Linked DNA regions of Drosophila melanogaster. The protein of the gene in region 1 interacts with the protein of each later gene in a pairwise test. Each region holds a gene or a part of one and is shown on either strand. Other genes may lie near its edges.

The links. Proteins that work in one complex are often made in the same cells at the same time.
Region 2: the proteins of CG11249 (region 1) and CG3942 interact in a two-hybrid assay, tested with the Drosophila melanogaster proteins (one large-scale study listed by BioGRID).
Region 3: the proteins of CG11249 (region 1) and robl62A interact in a two-hybrid assay, tested with the Drosophila melanogaster proteins (one large-scale study listed by BioGRID).

What each region holds. Positions count from the first base shown.
Region 1 is NT_037436.4:21,668,736-21,677,727, reverse strand, and holds CG11249 (uncharacterized protein), read right to left. Parts: upstream 5,590-8,992; 5' UTR 5,538-5,589; coding exon 5,072-5,537; intron 4,802-5,071; coding exon 3,339-4,801; 3' UTR 3,210-3,338; downstream 1-3,209. Other genes in the region: Als2 (amyotrophic lateral sclerosis 2), read left to right, coding at 1-558, 678-1,296, 1,360-2,496, 2,555-2,706, 2,766-2,989.
Region 2 is NT_033777.3:12,250,078-12,258,892, reverse strand, and holds CG3942 (uncharacterized protein), read right to left. Parts: upstream 4,707-8,815; 5' UTR 4,587-4,706; coding exon 2,367-4,586; 3' UTR 2,301-2,366; downstream 1-2,300.
Region 3 is NT_037436.4:1,473,500-1,480,669, forward strand, and holds robl62A (robl62A), read left to right. Parts: upstream 1-4,119; 5' UTR 4,120-4,221; coding exon 4,222-4,536; 3' UTR 4,537-4,870; downstream 4,871-7,170. Other genes in the region: stet (stem cell tumor), read right to left, coding at 2,674-3,023, 3,083-3,494, 3,558-3,788.

The sequences.
Region 1 (8,992 bases):
GCTGCATCAGCCAGGAGCTCGCCGTGAATACCAAGGATTTCTGGAGCAGCAACGATAGAAACCCGAGGATTGTGCAGTTCAGAGGACGTCACAGAAGGGTTATTTTGACGTCGGCTTTGGTTCCATTGAAACTAGTCACTTCTGGTATCAGCAGGTCAAGCAACAGTTTCATTCTCTTTTCGGACTTCCTCTGCCAGGTAAGCGGCAACTCGCTGTACTCGTATCCCTTAACTACCCTGTGGGTGTGGACCGAAGGCGACAGCCTGCGCTTGACCACGCCGGAAAAATCCTTTCTGGTAAGCACCCGTTCGCAGGAGATGCGCAAGGTGTGGCTGGACCAGTTGCAATCGAGCATTATAGCGTCCTTGGGCAAACCTCTCGGAAGTCCTGTGCCCAGCTATCGCTCCACGGGGTACGAGTTTAGTCGGGAACACCCAAAGTTCTCCAGGGTGAAAGCGTGCGGTACCTGGAGAAAGGGCGTTCTCCACGGAAATTGCTACCTTGAGTATCCAGACGGAAGTGTATACTGCGGAGAGCTGCAACACGGGATCATTGAAGGTGAGTTATAATTGACCTGGGTGTTATTTAGTTATATAGCTCCTATGTAAATTATCGATGATCATCCAAAACGATAGTTTAGAGATAGAAAAAAGCATTAAAAGAACGTTATTCCTAAGGTTTCGGCAAAATGGTGATTCCGACAACGGGGCTGTATGTAGGTAACTTTAAAGGTGGCCGGTTCCACGGCCACGGTGTTTACGAAATGCACTGTAAGGATTCCCCCGAGAGCGAAGTCTACGAAGGAAATTTTTGCGAGGGCCTGTTTCACGGCCATGGAGTGATGCGGAACAACCGATACATCTACGTGGGCGAGTACCAGGCCAATGCACGCAGTGGATACGGAGTGATAGAGGATCTGGTTAGCGGGGACAAGTACATGGGCATGTTTGCGGATAACAAGCGATCTGGAATCGGCAGCTGCATCACCAACCGCGGCGACTACTTCGAGGGCAGCTTCTCCGGAGACGATCTCACAGGCAGTGGGGTTGCTGTCTTCGAGAACGACTATTACTACGAGGGCGAACTCACGCTCCTCGGCCCAAACGGACGGGGGGAATACTACATGCCCAGTGGAGATGCCTGTGGAGGAAGCGGTGCCATGGGGACCGGGGAGTTCGACGACACTTGCGAGCTTATTGGGAACAAAATGTTTGGACAGCTTAGTGGTACTTGGGACACGGTGCGGATACAGGCCGGTGAACTGGTACTAAATCGGCGCTTTCCTAAGTACCCCAGGTGAGTCAATAAGAACCCACAAACGTACTTCAATGAAAAAATAATATAATGGCTTTACTGCAGCTCCCTTGGGCGCCAAGTGGTAGATCACAATCGCAAGTGGCGATCATTGTTTAACAACTTTGAATCGGACCTTGCCAATTGCACGGCAAGCACTAGCAGCTCTGGAGGCAATCAATCAGCTGGCACCCTCAGAAAATCCTCGAAACCCACTTTGAGCACGGCCCAAATCTGGAACTGCATAGCGGTGTACATGAGCAAACAGCGGGCTCGGGAAGGAACAAAGCCTGGCAACTACTTTAACAACATCCTGCTCAGTCTGCCGCTGCCGCAAAAAACATCATCCCCACTGGCAAAGGCCCGCACCACCACCAGCGCACTGAGCAAGCTGCAAACGGAGGCTGCATCGGCGCTGGACTTCTTGGGATTTCCACCGCGACGAATCCAATCCCAAGAGGCACTGAACAGCAAGCCAGGCGGATTGCAGAGAGCGGATAGCTTAATCTCTATGGGCCACAATACATCTCGTGACTTGGACAACAGTAGTCTGGCTAGTTTCCAATTGGACCAAAGCCTCATGAACAGCACTGTCAACGGCGATGAATCCAGCACGTTCAATGAAAGCTTTTCGAAACTAAGTCACAACAACAATAACAGCATTTCGAAGCACATGAACAACATCGATTGCTCGATAACATCAACAACGTCTACAACGAGTGCAGTGCTGGACCAGGTACCCAGTTTTGGAATGGCTTTGGTGCTTACCGAGCAAGATGTGACCTCCATACGTTTGTACCTGGAGCAGGCTTTTAAGGATCGCCATCACCCGCTGTACGTGCTGAATGAGCGCATTGCCAACTGTTTCCACTACTCATATGGCTATTGGAAAGTTAAACCCACCCCGATTTTGGCCAAGCAAGCCATGAGAGAGTGGGAGTCCATATCGCGTCGCATTTACCGCTTTGTGCGGAAGATGTTTCCAGCGTTGCCCGAGGAACTTTGCCAGATGGAGGGCAGCAGGGAAGTCATATCGCATATTACCCTATTATACCCACTCGTGCTATCAGAGGGCATCTACTCCACTTTGTTTGTGCTGTATGCAAATAAGTACAGTCGAAAGGACGAAATGTATCGGCAGAATCTGAATCTTGCCGAGAAACTAAAGGACCAAGAGCTTGTTGAACTTATGGGTCATGAAAGGTATTCTAAAATGTCTACGCTATTTTATCTTTCTTGTAATTTTCAATTTTGCTTTCAGTTTTCTGCACAATGTAATGTTGGACCCCAAGTTTGTGGAGTCCGTGCAGACGTTAAAGGAACTGCAGGAGAAGTTTAGTCCACAGGACATGTTGACTGTGATACAGCGGAGCACGCAGCTACTAACTGAGGCCTACGAACACGCCATGGCAGGTGAGTCTCAAAGGTCCAGATATCCGTAAATAGTTTCACTAAGCAGTTCCGACTCACAGCTAATGCCGCCCAGCTCAATGCGGACAACATGATACCGCTCACCATGCTCACGATGCTGCGCGCTGCTGTTCCCCACTTGGGTGCGGAGCTGGCCTTATTGGACGATCTGACCGGTGGCCCCAATTTCCAAGCCGAGATGAATGGAATGGCGGGCTACTGCTACACTACACTGAAGGCCGCATATGAGCACGTGACGTCGAGAGCTCTGCAAAAAATCCCCTGAGCGGGCTCAGCTCAAAGATTTCGGGCTCCGTTGCCGAAAAGGCCGACACATGAGGTTTTAGAAAATTAGTTACTTCTTGTTGGCATTGTTAAGTCTCGGTGAATAAGAAACACAAGTGTTGATTTCCCGTAAATAGTCTGTATATACATAGAACGACGAAATTCCCTCATATGATTACGGGTATTGATTCTGTACAGCCGCAATTGATTAGCCCCTAGTACAGCGTAGAAATGTGTATCTATATATTTATGTATGTATTTATCTGTATCTGTTTTGTATATTCTAGGCCAACGCGTTAACATTCCAATTACTCACCAAAGCAAATAAACTATCTACACACACTTGGGAACTAAGTCTTTTCTATTTCCTTGAGGGTCTGCATCTGGTCCTGGTCCACAGGGAACAGGATTTCCGCCATGTGCGACGCAAAGTTAGTTCTGTCCAGCTTGTACACGATGTACTTTTCAGGAAACTTTGTGCCATCCTCGTAATTGTACACCAGGATCACCTGATCGTTCTGCTTGGCGATCTTTCGCTTCACCAAATAGGCCAACGCGTATATGGCCTTAAGGAAGACGTTCCGCCTATGTGCAATAATGCACTTGGTGCGGAATGGAAGCATGGTCACGTTGTGGTAAATGGAAACGTAATCCTCGGCGGAGCGCATGTGGCTAACGAAGAGAATGGGGGCGTGGGGCCGAAAGTGGGAGATCTTTTGCACCATCCGCGTGGTGACTCCGATCACGACGATGGCCACCGCATGGACTTCAATGGAGGCAGTTACCACGGAACGCGCCAAGCTATCCGCTCCAGTGTGAGATCGGTCGCAGTATGGAGTATTGGCCAGTGCCGTTGGGCTGATCTGCTCGAAGATGGCGGATTGCAGTAAGCGGAAGTAGATTGTACCTTTCGGCTGCGGGCACGTGGTCACGTACTTGTCCGGATAATAGAACGTGTAATAGTAGTGCGCGGGGTCCACCCTAAGCTTTTGCTCATCCAAAAGCCGCGGATCAAAGATAATGGGTTTCTTCGCAGCGTATGTCAACTGCATAAAGCACTCGGCGTCGGGGCACAGGTGCATTATGTCCGGAACAGTGGCCGGCTCCGCCAGTTCCACCAAGAACCCGTCGTAGCGTTTGATCGCCCAGTTCAGCTCCCCTTTGCAGCCCTGGACCTCGTTGAGCACCACTCTAGCGTACAGTCTCATGCCATCGCAGTGCATAGCGGACATCGCGTGCTCCAAGTTGTCCACGTACTTTGGGGTCCCCACGATATGGGATACTACCACATTCAGGCCAACCTCTCGGGCGAAGGTAAGGTCCTCTAGCTCCTCGTACGAGATCCGGAAACGACGACACCTCGCCGGGAATAAGACAGGCATGTGGGCATACAGCATGCCTCCCCTGGCCACACAGCCCTTGAGGTGGTCCGCGTGGATGCTCCGCACCATCAGTTGAATGTCCTCGCCAATCAAAATAAAGTCCAAGGGGTGTACATCAACGATCAAAAAGCGGGCATTCACATATATAACATCAGCGTTGCTCCGATCCGAGTACTGCCGATCCACGGTCAGGATTACCTTCTGGCCCTGCACAAGTTCAACGCACTTCTTGCCCTCCTGGCGGAACTGAGTGCTGAATCCGCCAGTGAACTGGTGGCGCGGCGATATCTTCACCATCACTGAAGACGTCACGGGAAAACCCAACTCCTTTGAAACACTGATCTCCGCCTCTCGCAGCTTTACGATCAGGCTCTGGTTGTCATGCTGAGTGCCCTCGAAAAGGTTGACCATAAAGCAGCGGACTCCGCCCACTGAAAGTAAGGAGTTGTGGTGCAATAACAAATGGATCTTATAGAAAAATGCCAAATATAGGCAAAGGGTTTTAGCTAATAATTCTAAAAAAAAGCAGAGAGAGGTATATAGGGGGTCTCAGAAATGTCATAATTCGGATTGATGATTTAAACCCATTAAGACCATGAAATATTCCTAGAAATGTAGATGTGTTCTAACTTGGAAGTTTAAAATTCTAAAAAATTACGTGGCGTGTATAAGGAGTTTACGCAAACGAACTGTAAACGCACATAGATGGTGTTTGATCTCGAGATCGCAGTTCGTCATCGAAGTCAGTTCCACACACTTGCGGTTCTCGTTGGGATCGGTGCCGACTGGGGTGGTCAGGATCTGAAAGTCTTTGAAGAAACCGTGCCAGCGATCCTCCTCGAAAGATATGTTGCACGGATCCTCGCTTAACTCCTCGAAGTCGAGTTCCTCCTCCGAGGCCGAGCTGCAATTCTGATTGAAACCCGAATGTAAGGAATACTTGGATCGAAGAATCGCCATCTCGCTTCCACGGTTCATGCTGACTTCTTCCTCTTGGCCTAGAAGATGGTAGAAGGTGTTCCGCCGTTGCATAATATTTAACTTCTCCTTGGCCTTCTGTAATTTCTCCACGTCCACTGCGATGATCCGCAACCGGCTGAACATGTTGTCTATAATCGACTCGAAGGTCGATGCCTTCCGCTCCTCACCATCCTCATTATCGCTCATTGCTGGGGAAGATAGAAAATTTTGGAGTCTAATCAAAAACTGTGTGCTTGTCAAATTTGATATGGAGACTGGGACTTTTTAGCACCAGAATTTTCGTTAATCTTGATATAACTGGAGAAAACAAAATAAAATTACAAAATTGAATAAAAGGTTTGTGCATCGTTCCCAATTTATACACGTTTTTAGTTAAGAAAGAGATTCGTTCAAAGTTTGTTACAGGTATTTACCCATGTCCGTCGGCTCGTCCGTACGGTTCCTCTGGAACCACAAAAGCCAGAAAGTTAAAAGCCAGAGATTAACCATGCACAATATGCCACGCCCAATGAAACGCCCGCAGGCCGCCGCCGAAAACTATGACAAGAGTATACTATGAAAATGTTTAAATAGGATTAAACGTATAATTTAAATATCTGCCACTCCAACATCTTTAATCCACTGCTCTAATTTTTCTGCCTCCCTTTTGTTTCAAAAATGTAAAACAAGTGTAATTTCTTGCTGATCAATAACTGTTTACAGGACTATTAACTATTTTAAGATTTTGAGTCTGAAACAAATACTAAACTATATCGTGCTTTGTTTAAAGCTGCGTTGTTTTTAAGCCTGCTTTCTATACATTGTTCTACATACTTTAACTGCTCTTTTCATTTACTAAAATTAATTTGTTTGAAAATAGATGAAATTGACTATAGTTCCATTGAATTTGAATGCATTATCTTTGTTCAAGAGAATTTATTCATGATTCAATTGACCAGAGCGATATGACGACATGCATTTGGGATAATTCCGTTTGGCGTTGAAGAGTCGAAAGGATTATATCTTTTTCAATCGCCTAAATACGGAAAATTTTCATAATTTGGGGTGAAGGTTTTCAATTTATACACTTATGCACTGAAGTCATTTCTGGCGAAAGCTGTACAAGATAAGAGTGAATTAATCATTACATTAATGTTTTTGTAAAAGCAAACGTAAGCCATGAAATTACATAATCTAAGGAGGGATCAGGCTAGTTATGCGCATAGAGTCCCAACCAGATCGACCTCCTCCTCCTCCTCCGAGCCCAGGCGTGATTTTATAGTTTTCCTGCCCTTTAGCCACCCATGCATTTCCCATTTCCACTCAACATAGTTTCTGGTTTTCAGTTCTCCAGCGATAAAAGAAACCGCAATCCGAAGCGCAGGTAACTTTTGGTATTTGTTGCCACTGCTGTTGCTCATTTTTGTTTATTTCCGTAATTTATTTGCCTGTTTTGCCTTTCCGAAGGCGAAAATGTTAAATTTAGCATCAAGCGTCAAGTGAAATGTTTACAATGTGAGAGAAAGTTAAATTGAAAAGCGGGAGGGAGGCGGCCTTTCAGTTCGGAAAACTGAAAACTGAAAACGGGATCCCCAACTAAGCGTTTTAGAATCTATTCGGAATCTTGTTTCAGCGGAGGCCCAGCACTTGAGCACGCCGAGTTCCGCCCGAGAAACGAGGAAAACATAAACATCCAGGAATGTTTAGAGAATAAAAATGTTCATATACGCTGCTCTCTACTTTTTGTGTCTTTTCCCCCTTTGTTGTTTATTTTCCCCCAGCCAACGTGCGGATACACCGGCTGACTAAGACCAAGACCAAGACCCACACACCCGTACCCGTACCCGTAGTCGTGCGGACACGTACCCGGACCCGGACCCGGAGTGGGGATACGGCTGGAAGACTGGGTGTGGCCGCACCCATGTTTAGACTAAACAGCCGATCATGGAAGAAATGTAGAAAGTGTAGAATTCTTCCCGCTCGACTGCGAAAAGCGCTTGAACTTTGACGCCGAACTGCACTCATCGGTTGGTTCGATTTCCCCTTGCTTTTCTTCCTTTTTTTTGCCCCATTTTGGACACGGATTTTTCTATGCCAGGCGGCGTGGGCGGGTGGAGTGGTCGGAGTTGGTGGTGGGGCTGCCATCTGCTGCCATTGAGCACCAGCATAAATTGCCTGGCTCCTTCTCCTTGGCTCGCGATCGGATGGGATCGTGTGGGATCAGCTCTCTCCCTCTCTTTTCAATTCTCTAGGTCTTCTCTTTCTATCCGAATAGCGCCGTCCCGCTTGCTCGTCCATTCATTTCGTGAATAGAATTTTCTAAATGTCTTTGAGTTTTCAAAATTTTGGAGCGTAGGTGCAGTGCGTCGCGAAGCGTCAGCGTGTACGGTTGGCTTTTAAGATTTCAAGAGTTCCCAAAGGCGATCGGAAAAGTTGGCAGTAATAGGGGGAAATTCCACCCCCCGAGCGGGTGACGTTACCCCGTTTCAATATTCAAATATTCAATATAATATTCGTAGTGCTCAGTGCTGGAGAGTAGGGTTCCCGGATCCAGGATCCATTCGGTACTCTTCCCACAGAAGTGGGCGTTCTTCGGTGCCTGTTGCCAGGTCCCCAGATGAACCCCACCCACACAGATACACACACACACACCCACACTCGCACACACTCTGGCGATAATTTTTCATCTTTCCAATATCCCACTCGACTGGCGAAATATTCGCCTCTGGCGTTCGGCTAAAAATATTTGAAAATCCAAAAATCCACTTCAACCTACTACGGCCGCCTGTTTTTCATAATTTTCAGTTTCGGTTTTATTTATTTACCCTATACATACGCATACTAGCACGTCCGGCCATTTTCCGACGTCTTTTTGTTTTGCGACTGCCGAAAGTTTTGCCGTTTCATTTGGCATGTCGTCGTTTTTGTTTATACCACCCTGCCGATTTCCCGGTTTTCGCCAGCCCGCCCTTGCACCCTTGGCCGTACATTTTCTGCATTTTCTTGGCGATTTCCACATTTTCCCACATTTTTCGCGGCCTTTGTCTCTTGCGGAGACGGATTTCGGAGCCGGAGTAGGTGGATGGCGGTCTTAATTGCCAGTCCCGTGGTACAAATCACAACCTAATGGGCAGCCTCCACCCGAGTGGTTTACAACTTCCTTGGCCAGATATCGCTGTACATGATTAGATATATACATATAATAGTAAGTATGTATGTACATGGACGGATAGTTGGCATCGGAAGACAGCTGTGTGCATTGGCAGATGCCATCAACATCATCATCATCATCATGATCAGCACCATCATCTTGGTCGTCCATTGCGTTTGTGGGGGAAGTCCATAAAAAAAAAGAAACCAAACCAGCACACAGTTATAAAAATAAAACTATTTTCGTATGGCGTGCATATAGACGCTCGATCATTAGACGGCAGCAGAGCCGCCACTTGGCACAGTTTTCCAGAGCACAGATTGGACCATAAATCAATCGAACCAAATTAAATTAATTCAATTCAATTCCAATCCAAATCCCAAACAAGAACCAATCTCATCACGGCTCCATGTGTGCGGATCGGTATGTGAAAAGTGGATACACAAATTCTAGTCGATTTGTCTTTTTCCGCTTACTGGCGTTTCAATTCCACAACGACAGGAAAGGGAAA
Region 2 (8,815 bases), on another chromosome or scaffold:
TTTTTTTTTTTTTTTTGCTGAAAACAGCTCTTTGTACTTACGATTGATCGGTTTGAACAAGGGAAGCCATATTGCTTCAATATTTATTCTTGAATTCTGAAAGGAGTGGAAAGAAATTCATTTCTTTTGAAAACAACAATTTAGCTTGGAGTAAATATGTATATCTATCTGATGATTATAAAAATCGTAAATATTTGATAGACATTTCGTTTTCCCCTATCAAACCAGTTTAGTTTGAACAAAGGGTCATAACCCCTGTAATAGCCATCGATTTGGTGGCCAAAACCTGATCCAGTTATCGGTCAAATACCGTTGAATCGGAATGGAACCATTAATTATTTCCCTAATCCATCAGCATCCGTCAACAGCTCAGGCCTCTCAACTCGCCCAGTCTCACCTTTGCCTCCAACTTTCTCACACTCTGCCCGATCGGGATATTAATTAACCATGCCAAAATAGCGAAACTGACCATTAACACCGAAAAGGTTGAGAAGCCGAGGCGAACGGACGAGCAATGTCAAAAACTATTATCTCTCTAATGGGCGAAAACACACGCGTTGTGTCCTGTAAGGGGATACTTTCTCGGCTCATCAGATTCCGGCACGGATATTTCATAACTTCCACTGACCGCTGGCCACTACGAGTAGAGCAACCAAAGCAACCCCTTCGCCCAGCTTGAGACTTCTTTGGAATCCTTTCTTCTCTTTGCTTAAGCCTTTGTTTTCCCGGCATTGTCCTGGGCACCGGGCACTTTGCATAATCAATAATCCTTGTCGCTGGCCCGCCATTGTCGCGCTGACCAACACGTCTGAAAAGATAAATTATGGTTTGTAGTCAAATTGAAGGCAAACAATCCCGGACAAAGACCAGACCAAGGGAATGCAATGGGCTGGAAGCGACCGGGATGGGGTGGTCATCCGATCGCCCCGAAGACAGCTGCCGTGTGCTGGAACCGGACAATGTCCAAGGGACCCATGGGCCACAAAAGTTTGCTTTAATATTTTTGGGATTTATGATTCAATCTTAGTACCATCTTGGAGAGAGCTTAATGGGCACGAGGAGTTAAGAATGTATAAGATTCGAATTAGAGAACACTGCTATTTCTTAGCAGCATAAATTACTTTATTATAATTTGGAATTACCCATTCCAATAATAATTCTAATATAAGGCGATAATCATAGTCAATCATGCCATACCCAAATCCTATTTAAATATTTACATTCCTATGCTGACATAAATATACAAATATTTCCTTGAACCGAACCAAGATTCAAATTTCACCAATAAGTTTGCCCAAATCCCGGGCTAAAGCAAACATAATTACACATTTATTTAAAATGCGAACGGTATTCGGCGAAAAGAAAGCAGATAGTTGACCTTTACCACTCGCTGCAATCGCCGAAAGTCCTTAGACAAACGGCCAGCTGTGCAAATGTCAAGACGTAAGTGTCAAAATGCTCATTAATAACGTCATCCTTAACGGACGATGGCTGCAGGATCGGAAGCGATGTCCTTCCTGGGCAGGACAAACACACACGGACAGCTATGGCGAAAGATGGAATCGATGAGAATGCAAAAATGCAAAGGTACGGCTAAGCCACATCATCAAAGCGAAGTCTGGACAATGGGCAAAGTTCGTCAAAGGATGTTTGCGCAAGTAAACATTGGAAACTATATGCCAGGAAGAAGGATATGAGCTGTGTGTCCCTCGTGTATGGCAGTGTTAAATTGAAAAATTATGATAAATAGCACAATGGGATGGGGGAAGTTGCACAACAACCAAACCCACATCCCACTGAGAGAACGTCTTCGCGACGGTGTGAGTCACATGCAAAAGGGTATCAATACCACGGCAGGACGAAAGAAGGGGTTGCGCCCAAGACCCGACAGAGTGTTGCTAAAGTGTGCACTGGCCTATAAAGAAGACCCATTCGCCACGGGATATCATTTACGATGCCATGTCGTTTGACCGCCCAACGGGACTTTGGACCGCACCGTCTTAACCCCTTCTCCTGCCAGCAGCTTCCGCATCCGGAGGTCCTTTGTTTATCTACCCGGCAATAGTTCACATAAGCTTATCATCCGCAGCGCGAGTGTTTGCGAAAAATGTTTGCCAATTCGCGGGGGGTGTGCGAAGGGGTTAGCCCTCCAGTCCGTTTGGTCCTTCTATTGACAATTGTCGTTACTTTGGCTTTGGTCTGGTGGGATATTGTCGGCTTAGTCATGTAATGCTCCTTTGTCTTTATGGTTCAACTTGGACGTTGGCTGGTGATTACAGGACGGGTATTTGGACTGTTATCACGGGGCACATAACTTTCTATACTTTATTTGGCACCGGGGCAAAAACAGAACGTGGGGAAAACCATCAGTCGATGTAAATGTTATGTACGACGATGGAAGTTTCCGGCTTGTAGCCACACTTCTGGATCCACTCCTCCACCTCCGTCTCCTGGATCACGCGCCTTGTGGTCACTGAATCAATGGTGCACATGGTGTCCCCCTCCAGCTCTTCGCCCACTTGGTCCAGTTGGTCGAGACGATCGTAGATTATTCCCAGCACTCCGTGCTTCTTTAGCTTATTGCGGATCTCCAGGTCAATGGTGGAACTACCATAAACAAAAGCGTCCAGATTGATCTGGTGCAGGTATGCCATAGTCGAGGGCTTGTTCAGCAGTGAGTTAGCATGAAGGGTCAGCCCAAGGAACTCCAGACTGTTGCAAAACCTCACGGCAACATCCTGCACGCTTACCCTTTGGTCTGCATACTGAACCGGCGAGTGCGGATCCTCCAGTAGTAAAGTCACGGGATATACATTCTGCTTAAACCGAACCATGGCACAGATGTCGGCATCGAAGCTGCAAAAGACTATGCGCCTCTTTCCAGCCTTATTTAAAACAATCTCCAATATGGTGTCCACATAGAAGTTTCGATCGAACGTGGGCTTAAAGCTGCCGCTCTCCCAACGCCGCATATTGGTCATCTGCGGCCACTTGATCTCGATTAGGAAGCCCATGTCGACGGGTAGATTTTCCTCATCCAGGAGGTCGAGGAGCAGGGGAAAGGGGCGCTGCTCCAGCAGCATTCGATCACAGGACTTATCGCAGCCTTTGCTGCCAGCGAATCGCAGGACCTTCACCTCCTTCAGTTGATCGTAGGAAAATGCCTCCAGGGGAACGGCAATGAGGTCTTTTCGTTTTGATCCTCCCATAGCGAGGAGCATTAGTTTGTTAAGATTTTCGTAGGCAAATATCAGCAGATCCTGATTCTCCAGAAGATCCTCAAAACTAGGCATTCTCTGCAACATAAATCGCAGTACAAAATCGTGATACACCACCACCTGGGCATCCTGCGTGAGCTGGACATCCATCTCCACCATGTCTGCATTGGCCAAAACAGCCTGCTTGAAACCATACAAGGTATTCTCCCTTACCACATCGGATCCTAACCGGTACGTATTTCCCGATCCTTTGTGCCCGATGTTCATGCATAGGCGATTTTTGCGCCAGTAACGCTCGTAGCTGTGGCTCAAATCGCAACGGAAATTTGGCAAAGGTCGAATTATTAGATAGCGTACACACATCTCCATTAGTGGACGGTGGGTGGAGGCGCAAGTGATCTTCACCCGGGCAGAGCCTTCGGTGCCCAGCAGCTGATCTGGCATCAGGAATCCGTACCCGTAATGATACGGTGGTTCATCATAGCCTGCTTTATGCGCGTATGTGTACAAATCCAGTCGGTAGAGCGTTTCCTCCGGAAAAGCGATGGAACAATGAAATAGCTCCATATCCTTCGGCCCACATCTGGCTCCAAATCGTTGCTGCGCGGCCAAAGCATTTTGGACACATAGATTGGTCACCTCGACTTGTGCCAATTGAAGATACTGGTTCCCTGCCTTAATTTCCCGGGTGCTCAGATAACGCGATAAACGTGTTTGCGACGAAACCATTTTGATGGGATTGGCTGGTTCGTTACAAGGATTCTCCGGCACCTCAAACATGGGCTGCACATGGACATACAGGAGCCTCGGTTTCTGACGTTGCCAACAGAATGGAGCATTGAAGATCTTCAGGTGCACAATTGTCTCTGTGGTGGCCCAGCCGCGATCCACCTGGTTCGCTTCATCATCGTCGTGTGGTTTTCCAAAGACGTCGCAGTTCTTCAGCATGTTCTGACAAGTTCGAATCACTCTGGGATATAATTGGGACTCCCAGAAGCGTATATACACCTCATCCGTCTCGGGATCGTGGATCACGACGCAGTACCGATAGTGGATGTCGATGTTACGCGGTATCTCTAAGCTTGCCTCAAACTGACGGCAATTGCATAGGCAGCTAATGCAGTCATTCTTGGCCAAAATGTACACCTCCTTGGGATCCCAGTTTCCAAGAGAGGGACAGTTGCCACTAATGGCAACATACTCATTACCGTTTAGTGAACTGTGAAAGACTACACAGAAGGGCCACTCAGTAGTCGGAACTGGTGGTGGAGGTGGTGGCTCTTGTGTCTCCGAAGCGCTACTAGGACCGTCTTCCTCCGGTTTTCGCTCACACTCCTCCCGCTCGTTGGCAAAGAACCATCGATGCATGGTAATAGGCCAGTATCAAATGAACCGGGAATTTCGGAAGGTAAGTACTATTGTATAAATTGGTATCAATTTGGTAATAATTATTTCAACAAATTTCAGTGTGTACTTGACAGAAATTAGGTATCATTTTGAAATAACAAATTACTTAAACAAGAAAAGCTGCTCAAGTTTTTCAATACTTTTTACACAAAATCACAAGACTGAACTTATCCTTCGTGTTGTCTTAATTAGTTCTTATTTTGGAAATTCCCTCAGCACACCGCACCCCAAGAGACAATTCTTACTTATGTTTTTTACATGACAAAACAGATCATTAGCTAACCACAAAGAAACAGGAATATGTTTTGGGGAATATTACGAAACGCCATGAAACTTTCCCACCAAAGTCAACTAAGCATCCTGTCATACTTCCCGCAGGATGTGATCTTTTGATCCGGAAACTATAAAATTGGTACACCAAGCCCGAAGAAATCTCTGTGTCGCGGAAAAGGCACGCAAGCCCTCTTTCCCCTCGGAAACTGAAAACATTAAAACGAGCCACCTGCGACAGGATCGGAAAAAAGGAACAAGGATCGAGACAGGGACACGCCAGAAACTAAAACTGAGGGGTTGCACTCCTGCTCAAATTGGAAAATTAGACTACGCTTTAGTCAGGGGAAAAAAAAAACTAAATTAGTGTGTGCTTTAAAATTAAATTTTAATTGTGGTCTCTCCGAAAACTGTTGGTAAACTGTGGGAAATTTCAAGTTACCGAAATGATTCCAAATATAGAAACGTCAGTCTGAATGCTTGCGTCCGGAGCGGTGACAGTTGTCAATGAAACCATTTCGGGCACTTCCCAATTTGAGTATCTCACCTTACCGAAATCAGGGCAACACTTCGATGGCTTCCCAACTTGGGGCGCTCTCGAATTTCCGTGGTGCCTAATCCGCTTGTTTACTAAACAAATCAGCTGAAAAGGGGTGTCCCAGGATGGATCGAAATTTATGCCCGTCAACGGCGATTAAACAGCAAACGAGGCAATCAAGACGATCCGGACACATGCCAGAAGACTCAACCCCAACCGCAGATGCTGCAACTCGTTAGCACTGTCTTCTGCTTCAATTTGGACCACAAAAAATATAAAAATATCACAAAATTTGGAATTTTAATGATGGAAAAGGGAAAGTACGCAAAAAAAAAAAAGATGGTCCATGTAAAGACGGACTGAAATTATTACTCTTCAGTTCTGGTTTTAAGAATAAAAACTACATAGTTGAAACATGATTATCCTAACCATTTCGCCTGATATTATAACAAGCCATGTTCACTCCCTACTTTTAACTAATATTTGTTTTAACCCTCTCCAGCCTTTTTTATGGTCACAATAACGTCAAGTGTGTCGCAAGTCAGGCTCTCGTTCTGGTTTGAGCCCTCTGCGGTGATACAGCACAAAATTTGAACACATGTGCGCTAGACCGCAAGACGAGTGCCAAAAGTGCTGTCCACCAGCCATGTCCGTTTTCCGCTCCTCGTCCTTTTTCCTAACCTCGTCCTGTGTACACAAACAGCAGCTGAAACTAAAACCGAAACCGAATCCGTCGCGCCTGCGCACTGGACAGCAGGTAGAAGTCCTTTCGGATCCATTCGTTTGCGTGCAGAAACACTTGACTCAGATTGTTTTGGACCCTGCGGTTGAGATTTTTATGGGTGTGTTGCAGTTGCAAAAGTGCAATTAAACGGCAAACAATGCGAGACCGCAGCTTGTGCCCAGGTAGATCAGAGATCAACTGTCAACTGACTGCCGCAATTTGCTTGGAGCACTTCCTGGAAACTCAATACGCAATCCTAATTAAGCATAAAGAGACTAATTTCCCCGGTGCCCCTATGTGCTCCATTGTGTGGGAAAATCTAATTGGAAATCTGTGAACAAAATCGCCTTTCTCGCGGTCTTCAAATTACGCTCATTGCACCGAGGCCTGTGCGCAGGCGCTCTGAAAACACACGGGGGAATGGGGGGATTACTGTGGAGAATTCGGATTTTCCGCTTTGTTGTCGTGTAGTTGAATATCCTTGGGAAAGCCGGCTATCAGGATTTCCTCAATATTCTTCCTAAGCCAGTGTGAGAGCGGTAGGTAAATAATATTTTCTAGAATACTTACATACGTGATCTTGGAGCAGTCCGATTTCCTGGTGGATGTCCTCAGGCAAATACGGATGCAGGATGTGCGCACAGGTTGGACAGGATATCCCCAGGACGTTCACTGAATAAACAGGTGTATAGGAGTATTTTCCCAGGGACAAACTGGCTACACTGCAAACTCCAAGAGTAATCATTCCCCCTTTGGAACGGTAAACATGTCAATAAATCATCCCAGCACTTCTATGTCATTCAACCACTCGATGGAAATCAATAGCCGGAAAATAGTTTTCCTAGGCAAGCGTAAAACAAATCCAACACCGAAAACACCAAAAATCACAAATTAGCTAAACGACAACTATAGTGTGAGAAAAAACCGAACAGGGACAGCATTTAAATAAGGGAAAAATCATTGACACATGGGACTCCATCGGTTGCGACGTCGGAATGAACTGCAACCTTATAGCAACATCTGGACAAGTATTAAAAAAACAATAACATACCCTTAAGTGACATCCACTGCGCCAGGATCCTCAACGGCAACTCGCCCGTTGAAGATTACAATTTATGACTGCGGCTGATTTTCCAAATATTTAACCATAAGTTGGGGCGACAACGTGCATTTCTGAAACCCATTGGAATTTGTTACACTGCAGTGGAGTCGAGAAAAAACGACCAGGAAAAAATGGAACAAATTCTGAAAGATTTCCGTGAGAAACGATACAGGATGTAGGGATATTTAAATGAGATTGCGGAGAAGCTAGGCTATTTTAATTGGACGTGGGGGAAATGCAGGCAGTCAGACTTCAACCAGCTTTAAAAATCCCTTCCTTGCTGACTTATTTACGATTTCCACGAGCTGTGATCTGAAATTCGAAGCTGGACTATCTTCTCTAGTTATAATTTTCTCATTGCGATAAGCCTTTATCGCCGAATAGAATAGCTCTGAAAATTGAGCAGTTCAAATGTAATTTATTAGACGAACTGGGGTCCAAGATAAGCTAGACGAGATTACATGGGATCAGAAATGCCACAAGCGAGTCAAATTTCACGACTAACCAAAGGGCGAAGGAGTCTATATTATGACTCAATAATACTTTCAATATTTATATCAATTGTTATTAAATATTATTGGGCAGGCGAACAACCCTTACCCTCAACCCTTCTGTCGAGCGAACGTTCGATCCCTCCTGGAAATTGGAAACCACAAGGAGCAATCAAAGTCAGCGGCGAATGTGTGAATTATTGGGTTTCGGCAATTTAGTTGCAGAACGGCAAAAAGGGGCCATATACCCGCGTGTTGGGTGTCAGGGTTCCGGTGCAATCGAGCTTCTGTTTCTGTCGCAGATCGGCCCAAGTGGTCACTCACTCGCTAAAAGCTAATTAACCGGCTGAGCTGAAAGACTATAGTATATCAGGGAACATAAGTGATCCCGGATGTGTCGAATGGAATTAGCATAGGGCGTGGAGGTGGGATATTCAAAGCGAAGCCCCAGATGTTTCCACATCGGAACCACTCTTATCACGACTTGGACTTCCGCTCTGCCCACCTTTAGAGACCCAGAGATCTGGGCTACCGGCGAAGGTTCTGTAATTCCCACACGGTCCGCTCACCTGCAGAAGAACTATCTCGAGTACGACCCGACCCAGATGCAATGTATTCATCACTATTATCATGGCAAATGTTTGCCGCCAGATAAACTATGTTTATAGACGGTGCCGAGAGCCATTCTATTCATTAGTTTAAGTTTAGTTGCCTTGTTGACTTGTTACTGCATTACGCATACTCGCACTTCCTTCGGCCCTCGGATTCAGTTGGTTCATTCATAAAATTAGATTCCGCCGGGCGTCTGCTGCAATCCGAATGGCATCCCACGGATCTTGCACTATCTATGAGATATTCGGAATGCCAAACAAATGTTGCCGCTAAGTGTAAATAAGTTTCGGGCAAATTCGTTCTGTTTGCCCGCCGTTATCTGCGCGTTCTTTTTGATAAAAGTTTTTTTTTCTTTCTGAAATGCGGCAAGCAGCTGGCTAAATTCGAGAACATTTCCCACAGGCCGCATACCCATGCACTCGGTTTATTCTAGGATGGACTGGAATTATTGGC
Region 3 (7,170 bases), about 20 Mb from region 1:
TGAAGCGGTTTAAGTGGCCAGTTCTGTGGGGGACAGGCGGCGGCGGCGTCGTCTGACAAAAAAAAAAGGCGGCCAGCCCAACAAATTTCCATATTTGCCCGTTGCAGTTGCCGTCGCCGGCGTCTAGTGAGATAAATGGATGGAGGACAAGTCCTGGGGCAGTTCAGGTGCCTCTTCCCCTTTCTTTCCACCTCAAGTGGACTTTTTGTCCAGTGCACATTCAGTTAGTTCATTGAAAGGAGTTCAGTGGGGCCCAGGCAAGAGGTTGCTCCTCTGGTGCCGTTTCGGTCTCTGTTTGGGCTGCCAATATTTCAGTTGGCCTTATGACAGCTACAAGTGCGCCCCTTGATAAGCATTCCGACGATTCCGGTCCCCATGTCCATGTTGCGGATAAAGCGACGACAACTGGACGATGTGAGATGCGAGATGTGTGAGGTTTCTTCGCCAGACGAATGGCATATCGCAGGTTGCGCCAACTGCAAGTTGCCAGTTGCAGGCTGCAGGTTGATTCACGGCAGTCGCGTGGGACGCTCTGCTCCTCATCCTCATCCGCTCCGCACATGGTCGCGTGCTCCATTGTTTGTGCCTTCCCTGGAATTCCCCGATTCCGATTCCGCATGAATATGTCAATGTAATGATCTCCGCCCTTCTTCTGCTTCTTGTGCGCCCAGCCCCGTTCGTATCTGTGGAATTACATAAATATTAACTTGTACTTTTTATAAACATGTTTGCGCACCACAAACTGAGGATTGCCGTCCTGGTCATGTTGAATTCCGAGCGGAGGAAGGCTTCGATTGATATGATTTATACACTAAAGACTACTCCAAACGGGCTTCATTCCTGCGGAATAAGTTAGTTGCAGTGCAGCAAGTTTAGTCTATTGACATTAAACCTGATCTAAAAGTATCTTAGAGCAGCATTCTCGCATTAGAAGCTGGCTACAAATTACGTTCTGGTTTTTAATCAGACTGCGTACAGAGTTAATTAAAACATTACTGGGATCAATGATATAATTGTTTAATAATTAGAGCAACAATAGGAATAGCAATGCACTAACACTAATGTAATTGGTTATTTTAGTAAACTTTTATGAATTCATTGATTTTCTTACCAGTTTTATCCAGTTTTTCTTTCTTTGAGCAGGTTTGTACATTTTTTTCCCAAACCGCCTCGAAATAACACCAATGCCGCATTAATCAGCGTCAATAGAAGCAGCTCCTGTCCAAAAGGATCGCTAAGAGGACTCAGTTGCGTTCCTGTCACATTTCGCTTTGCATTTGCCATGCCGCATTTTTCCATCATTTTCTGCTTCTTCCCGGCGACACCCCCGCGCCCGCGCGAAATATGCGACAGCCCTGACGAATGACTTGACGGCGAAATGTGCTCAAACAAACATAAATTCCGTGTCCGCCGGGATTGGGATTTGTTGACTGCTCCTCCGAGTGGCTGTCCCGAGTTTCTCCCAATGTCCTGGCCAAAAACACGCAACGAGAAACGCCAGAAAAAGCCAAAGTTAACAAACGAAACGAAGGATTGCCAGGTGCGCGTGCTGCGCCAAACGAAATTGTAGTTTTTTGCGCGCGGATTGTGTCATAACTCAAGGAAATGATAAGGACGGATGGCCAATCCTTATCACCCAGCACGCGAATCGGTTTAAACTCACTCCAGCTCACTTTTTAAGCCAATTTAATGGGATTTTCGCGGAAAGAAAAACGAAACCGACGCGTCCACTTGAAACCGTAAGTTCTGCGATCAGCAAAAAAAAAACGTGTGGCAACATTGCCACTGGAAAACTTTAACCCTTGAGCTTCATCTCGACTTTTACATTTATAACTGTAAATAAACAAGTGCTTAACGATCGGTGTAAGTGTGTCCACACCACAATCGCTAAAAATTCCCGTTTAACCCCAATTACAAGCATGAAACACATTTTTTTTTAAAATTTAAATGTACTTTTATTTACAAGTTAAACAAAATGTGTAAATAGAAAATATGTAAATTTATGCTTTACTCTGTTGGTGCTTGGTCGTAATTGATTTCTTAAAGCTGGCAGTGCTCAGTTACGCTCGGCTATATCAAATTGAAACCGATTTACTTCAACATTTTGGAATATATTTAATATTATTTATCAGTTGTTGTTGAGGTAGTAATCTCAATTGCTATAAGGCCTGTAAAATTTAGAATAAATCGCTTGCATTGCCAATATATCGGTTTCCATATAGTCCTTAAAGCACACGCATATACATATATTTGTAATTCTAATTTACAGCTTGTGGAGTTTTATTCATTATTAGCTCCCATATAAAGTCTTCTGGTTCTTCTGGTTAATCTTAATAATATGTAGAAAATGTGTAATTCCTTGAGCATTATGTTACACCTAATCAGTTCGATTTGTTGTAAATATTCTCTTACGATTCTTACAATATGTTTGTACTTAACTAGCAAACAAAACAAAATAATTTACGTCGCATGACACGTAAGCAAACAATGAGATATTCATATCTGATCCTACAGATATAGGGTTAACAAAACAATAAACGCGAAACTTAATCGACGTCCAAAAACAATAAAAACTTCAATGTAACGCAATGAACAAAATGTAAGCAAAATATCAATTAAATACGAAACAAGGATCGAATTCTGATCATCCCTATCGCTTATCCTCCTGGGATTTCACACCTGGAAATCATTGAAAATGGTTTCCGTGACACGGATCTTCTCCACGCGTATATTGAACATCGCAAATCCATTCATGATGTTGAAGGCGATGGCGAAGACCACCAGCGCCAAGTACGTTCCCAAGGCGATCCACCAGAGCAGCTGCTCGTGGAGCTTCTGCTCAAAGCTCTTGAGCACCAGCAGCCCGATAGTTAGGCCAGCAATGGCACCAGCCAAATGGGCCACATACGAAACAGCACCCGCCGTTTCCGCCTGATCTATGGCCAGGAATTCACTCGATGATCCCAGCTGCAGTTCGTCGCCAGCATAGCGAGCATAGATGGCAAAGCCAAAGTCGAAGGAAACTAGAAGAAATTGAACTGTATTAACAACAACACTAAGGTGCGGTAGGCTAAACACTCACCGAAGACCAGAATGTGAAGCAGCTTGATGACTCCATAACGCATCTGGTGATAGTTGAGAAGCACATTGGCCAGGTGGGCGGCTAGCAAAGCGTATACTCCACCACTGGCGCCCACAAGGAACACATCCGGGTCAAAGATGCTAGTGCCCAGGCTTCCCGCCAGCACCCCGGAGAAGTAGATGCAGGCTATCCTCGTGGAACCATGAACCATCTCCAGTGGCAGCCCAAAAACCAGCTGAACTGCCACGTTAAAACCGAGATGCAGCCACCCGGCATGGAGTACCATGTAGAAGAGGAAGCGCCAGATCTCGTGACGCTTATCGGGACGGTAGATGAACATGGAGTCCGAGGGTATGGGTCCCCTTGGCGCCGCCTCACCCGTGACCACTGAGTGGTAAACAAAGAAACCCAGCTGGGGGAAAAGTAGTTAAGTAGTCAAGGGTCTGTTCAAGGAGAACTTAAACTTTCAACGCACCTCCACCAGAGTAACCAGGATGATGAAAAAAGGCGGCGGACAGCAGGTGTAGCGATCGGCGTAGTACTTGCGATCCCGCTCCTCGGGCAGGATCTCCATGGCCACGGCGTGCACCATTTTGCGAAAGAGTGGCGGTTCGTTTAGCACCAGCTGGAAATCGTTTTCGGAGCAGACTTCACGATCTCGATGGTGTACGGCGCACTTAAAGCTACGTGTCCGCTTGCCGCTCATCTGGAATTAAGTATGGAGGTTTAATCAGCAATAGTTGATGCATATTTAAGTGTAAAGATAACCTGCAATTACATATCTAGCTATGGTACTGCGATACCTTTTTCGATGTAATTGATATAGCAATATATGTATATTCCCTAAGATCGTTATATAAACACCACTTCGGGAGTAAGCAATATAACAAAACATTTACTAAGAACTTCGCTAAGAAGAAAGTGATTAGAAAATTTTCAAAATTGTTTCTACTATTTCGCCTATCAAAAAACTCTCCCATTTTAGTAGCCTTTTGATACAATTTCAGCAATTTATCAGCAAAGACTACAGAAAACTTCAGTACCTTTCTAACATCACTCGAATACGGATCAAACATAACTAGAAAATAAATCTTTTAGACAATTTCTAATTTCCAGTTTTACTACAAATCTTTTTCAAAATGTCGAAAATTTATCTGAAGGCCATGGAGGATGTGGTGCAGCGAAACACGGACAACACAAACCGGATTACGGAGCAGGCGCAGGGATTCGTGGTGTCGGAAAATGCCGGGGACAGTCTGCTGCACACTTCATTCGATTTGACCACGGCCCAGTCGATTGTGAAGCACCTGCACGCCAGTTTCCTGAAATTGGCCCAGAGCTGCGTCCGTGATCTGGATACCGATGATAAGCTGTGCTTTCTGCGCGTGAAAACCCGCAAGCACGAATTCCTGGTTAGTCCAGAGGAAGCCTTCACTGTGACCGTGGTATTGTAATCCCCCAGCCCATCTAGGGGTTAACAGTTTGGACATTGTTGCTTGCTGGTGGACAAGGGAGAGAAACACCAATACACACCCACTATCGCTACAGCTGTCTCACTCGCTCATTGTTGATGCTTTCGTTGAAGATCGTCGTACATGTTTAACCAACCCCCCACCCCCCACCCATCCAAAAAAGAAAAAAGAAATCTAGTCATAAAATTATAAAACGAACATTTATGCGTGTGACCGGACAAACTAAATTATGTTTATTATGTAATTAAGATGTTGGCACAGATGCCGATGTCAGCCATTAAAACAAACGCAGAGCGGGCAAAAATCCGCAAAAAGCGGAAAATAAGCATTGTGTTTAATTAAAAGTGAAGCCTACACGCAATTAAAATGCTCGTCTACGACGATTGCGAAAATAAAAAGGCCACAAATTAAGCTAGCCACGGCCTTAGGGCACAAAATAGTTACTTCCGCCAGTCTGGGAAGGGGGAATTTATGTATCTTCTAGTTAATCAGCGCTAGGCGGACTCTTAATGGCAGTAATTATCAAATTTTGTTTAATTGATAAGCCTCCTCTGGAGGACTGGAGGCTATGTCACTGGAATATCATATGGGTGGCTACTCTGTTCTTGCGCGGGTGTGCACTAAATACTCCCTTCCAGGGAAAGCGCCGTTTTTCTTGTATTTTGTTATGTACATATTAACTGTAATATTATTCACATTCTCCGAGCATTTCACTTACGCAACGAAACAGCAGCGTTCCTGCTTTATTAACTTAATAATCCTTATAAATTTTTCATTACGATTAAAGTTTAAACACAATGAACACTTAACATTGAAAAAACGACCGAATTTACAACTTTCCCGCCAGCGTGCCGAAGTTTCTATTCGCGCTCTGCGCTTTGTACTCTTATCCTCCTAGTTCTATTTCCATTCATTCCGCTTAGTAGTGTTGCACAACGCCAGCTGATCGATCATCGAATCTAGAGCGCTAAGATCAAAAATAAACAGAAATCAGATTTTACTTCCGAGTTTCCGATTTGGGCCAATTTCTGGGTATTAAATTGTTTCGATTCGCAGACAAAGGGCGCAGAGAATCTGTGTTGTCAACAATGGGAACACCCACACGCATTGTGGCCGTGTGACAAGTCGCATTTTCGGCAAGATCAAGCGATCACAACAAAGTGCCAACAGGGCCAATAGGGCGAAATTGTATTCCCAACAAATGATTGCTTATCGTTTGTTTGGCGGACGCTGGCTGCTGCGGCTGATAATGTCATTATCCTGGGCGCAGAGCAGCGCAAGGAGTCCGAGTCCTGCACGCCGCATGACGTCACCAGGTAGGCGACTTCACCGCCATTTAACGGTGCTAAAAGCAGACGGCACAGTTGTGAGCAAAAAAATAGGAGCGCCACCTATAAATGTACTTGCAACTCTTAAAATTACAGTTTACTTATTAAATTGAAGAGAGTTTACTTGAAATTGTGTGTGATCAAATTTCTATACAGGTATGTACTTTAACCAACCCTACCACTATTATCTTGGCCTCTGCTGTAACCTCGCTTCATTCACCTTTTGCAGGACAAGCCGACAAATTGACGCAAAACATTTAACGCTGGAAATTGGGATTGGGATTGGGATCGGGTCGGCAGACATGGTCAAGCGGGACAGGACAGGAGCGAGGAGTGAGGGGATCGAAAGGCGAAGGACCACAGGACGACGTGGCCGGCTCGGCTCTCTCGCTCGCTCGCTCTGCGAGCCACAAAAAATTCCTTTGAATTGCGTCCGTTGCAGCAGGAGCACACAAACACGGCGACATGTATTTTCCGCATTTTTTGTTGCCTTCTGCCTGTGGCTATGCGCAAAAAAGGACATCTCCGCCGGCGGTGGCAGGATGACGGTGGTCCACAGGATCGGTGGTTCGTTGGTTCGGAGGTATTGTGTGTCCTCTATTATGCATTGCGTACGGCCTCGCCCGGCGTGTTGACATTTTTATTCCAAACAGTTGAGCAATATTTATAAACTGGCCGAAAAAAAAGGAGCGGGAGGTGCTGGAGAGGAGCAGGAGAGGAGCAGGAGGAGGATGATGCGGGGGTCATGGTGCATGATGCATGCCCAATGGCTTTATTTCCGGGTGACCGTGTAAAACGTGCTCGTGGTTTGCAGCCTATTAAATGAGCTATTTGATTAACATTGTTCGTTGTTACGCTAATGAAAGGACAAAAGCGAATATTTGGACTACGAGGCACAAAGGACACAGGCCCGAAGCCATTTTACAGGACAATTCATAAAAACATTTATAATGCAGAGCATGATATTTATATTCCATGCATGCAAGGAAGCTATGCATATTTATATTTGTAAAACGTTTTTTAAAAGCAAGGCAAAGTCAAGACTGAGTATTGATTTGAATATTATTTTAATCTAATTAAAAAGATTACTCAACTTATATAAGAATAATCTAATCCTCGAGATTGACCCTAGCCTTTTGCAATAAGCACTTAACTTTCCACAAACAACAATGTTCATAAACATCAGGCAATTCAAATATTTCTACATTAATCGAAATTGTACAATTTACTCTGCCACTCAATTACTTTGTTTTTCTTTGGCAGCTTATTAAATGCCACATTCTACATG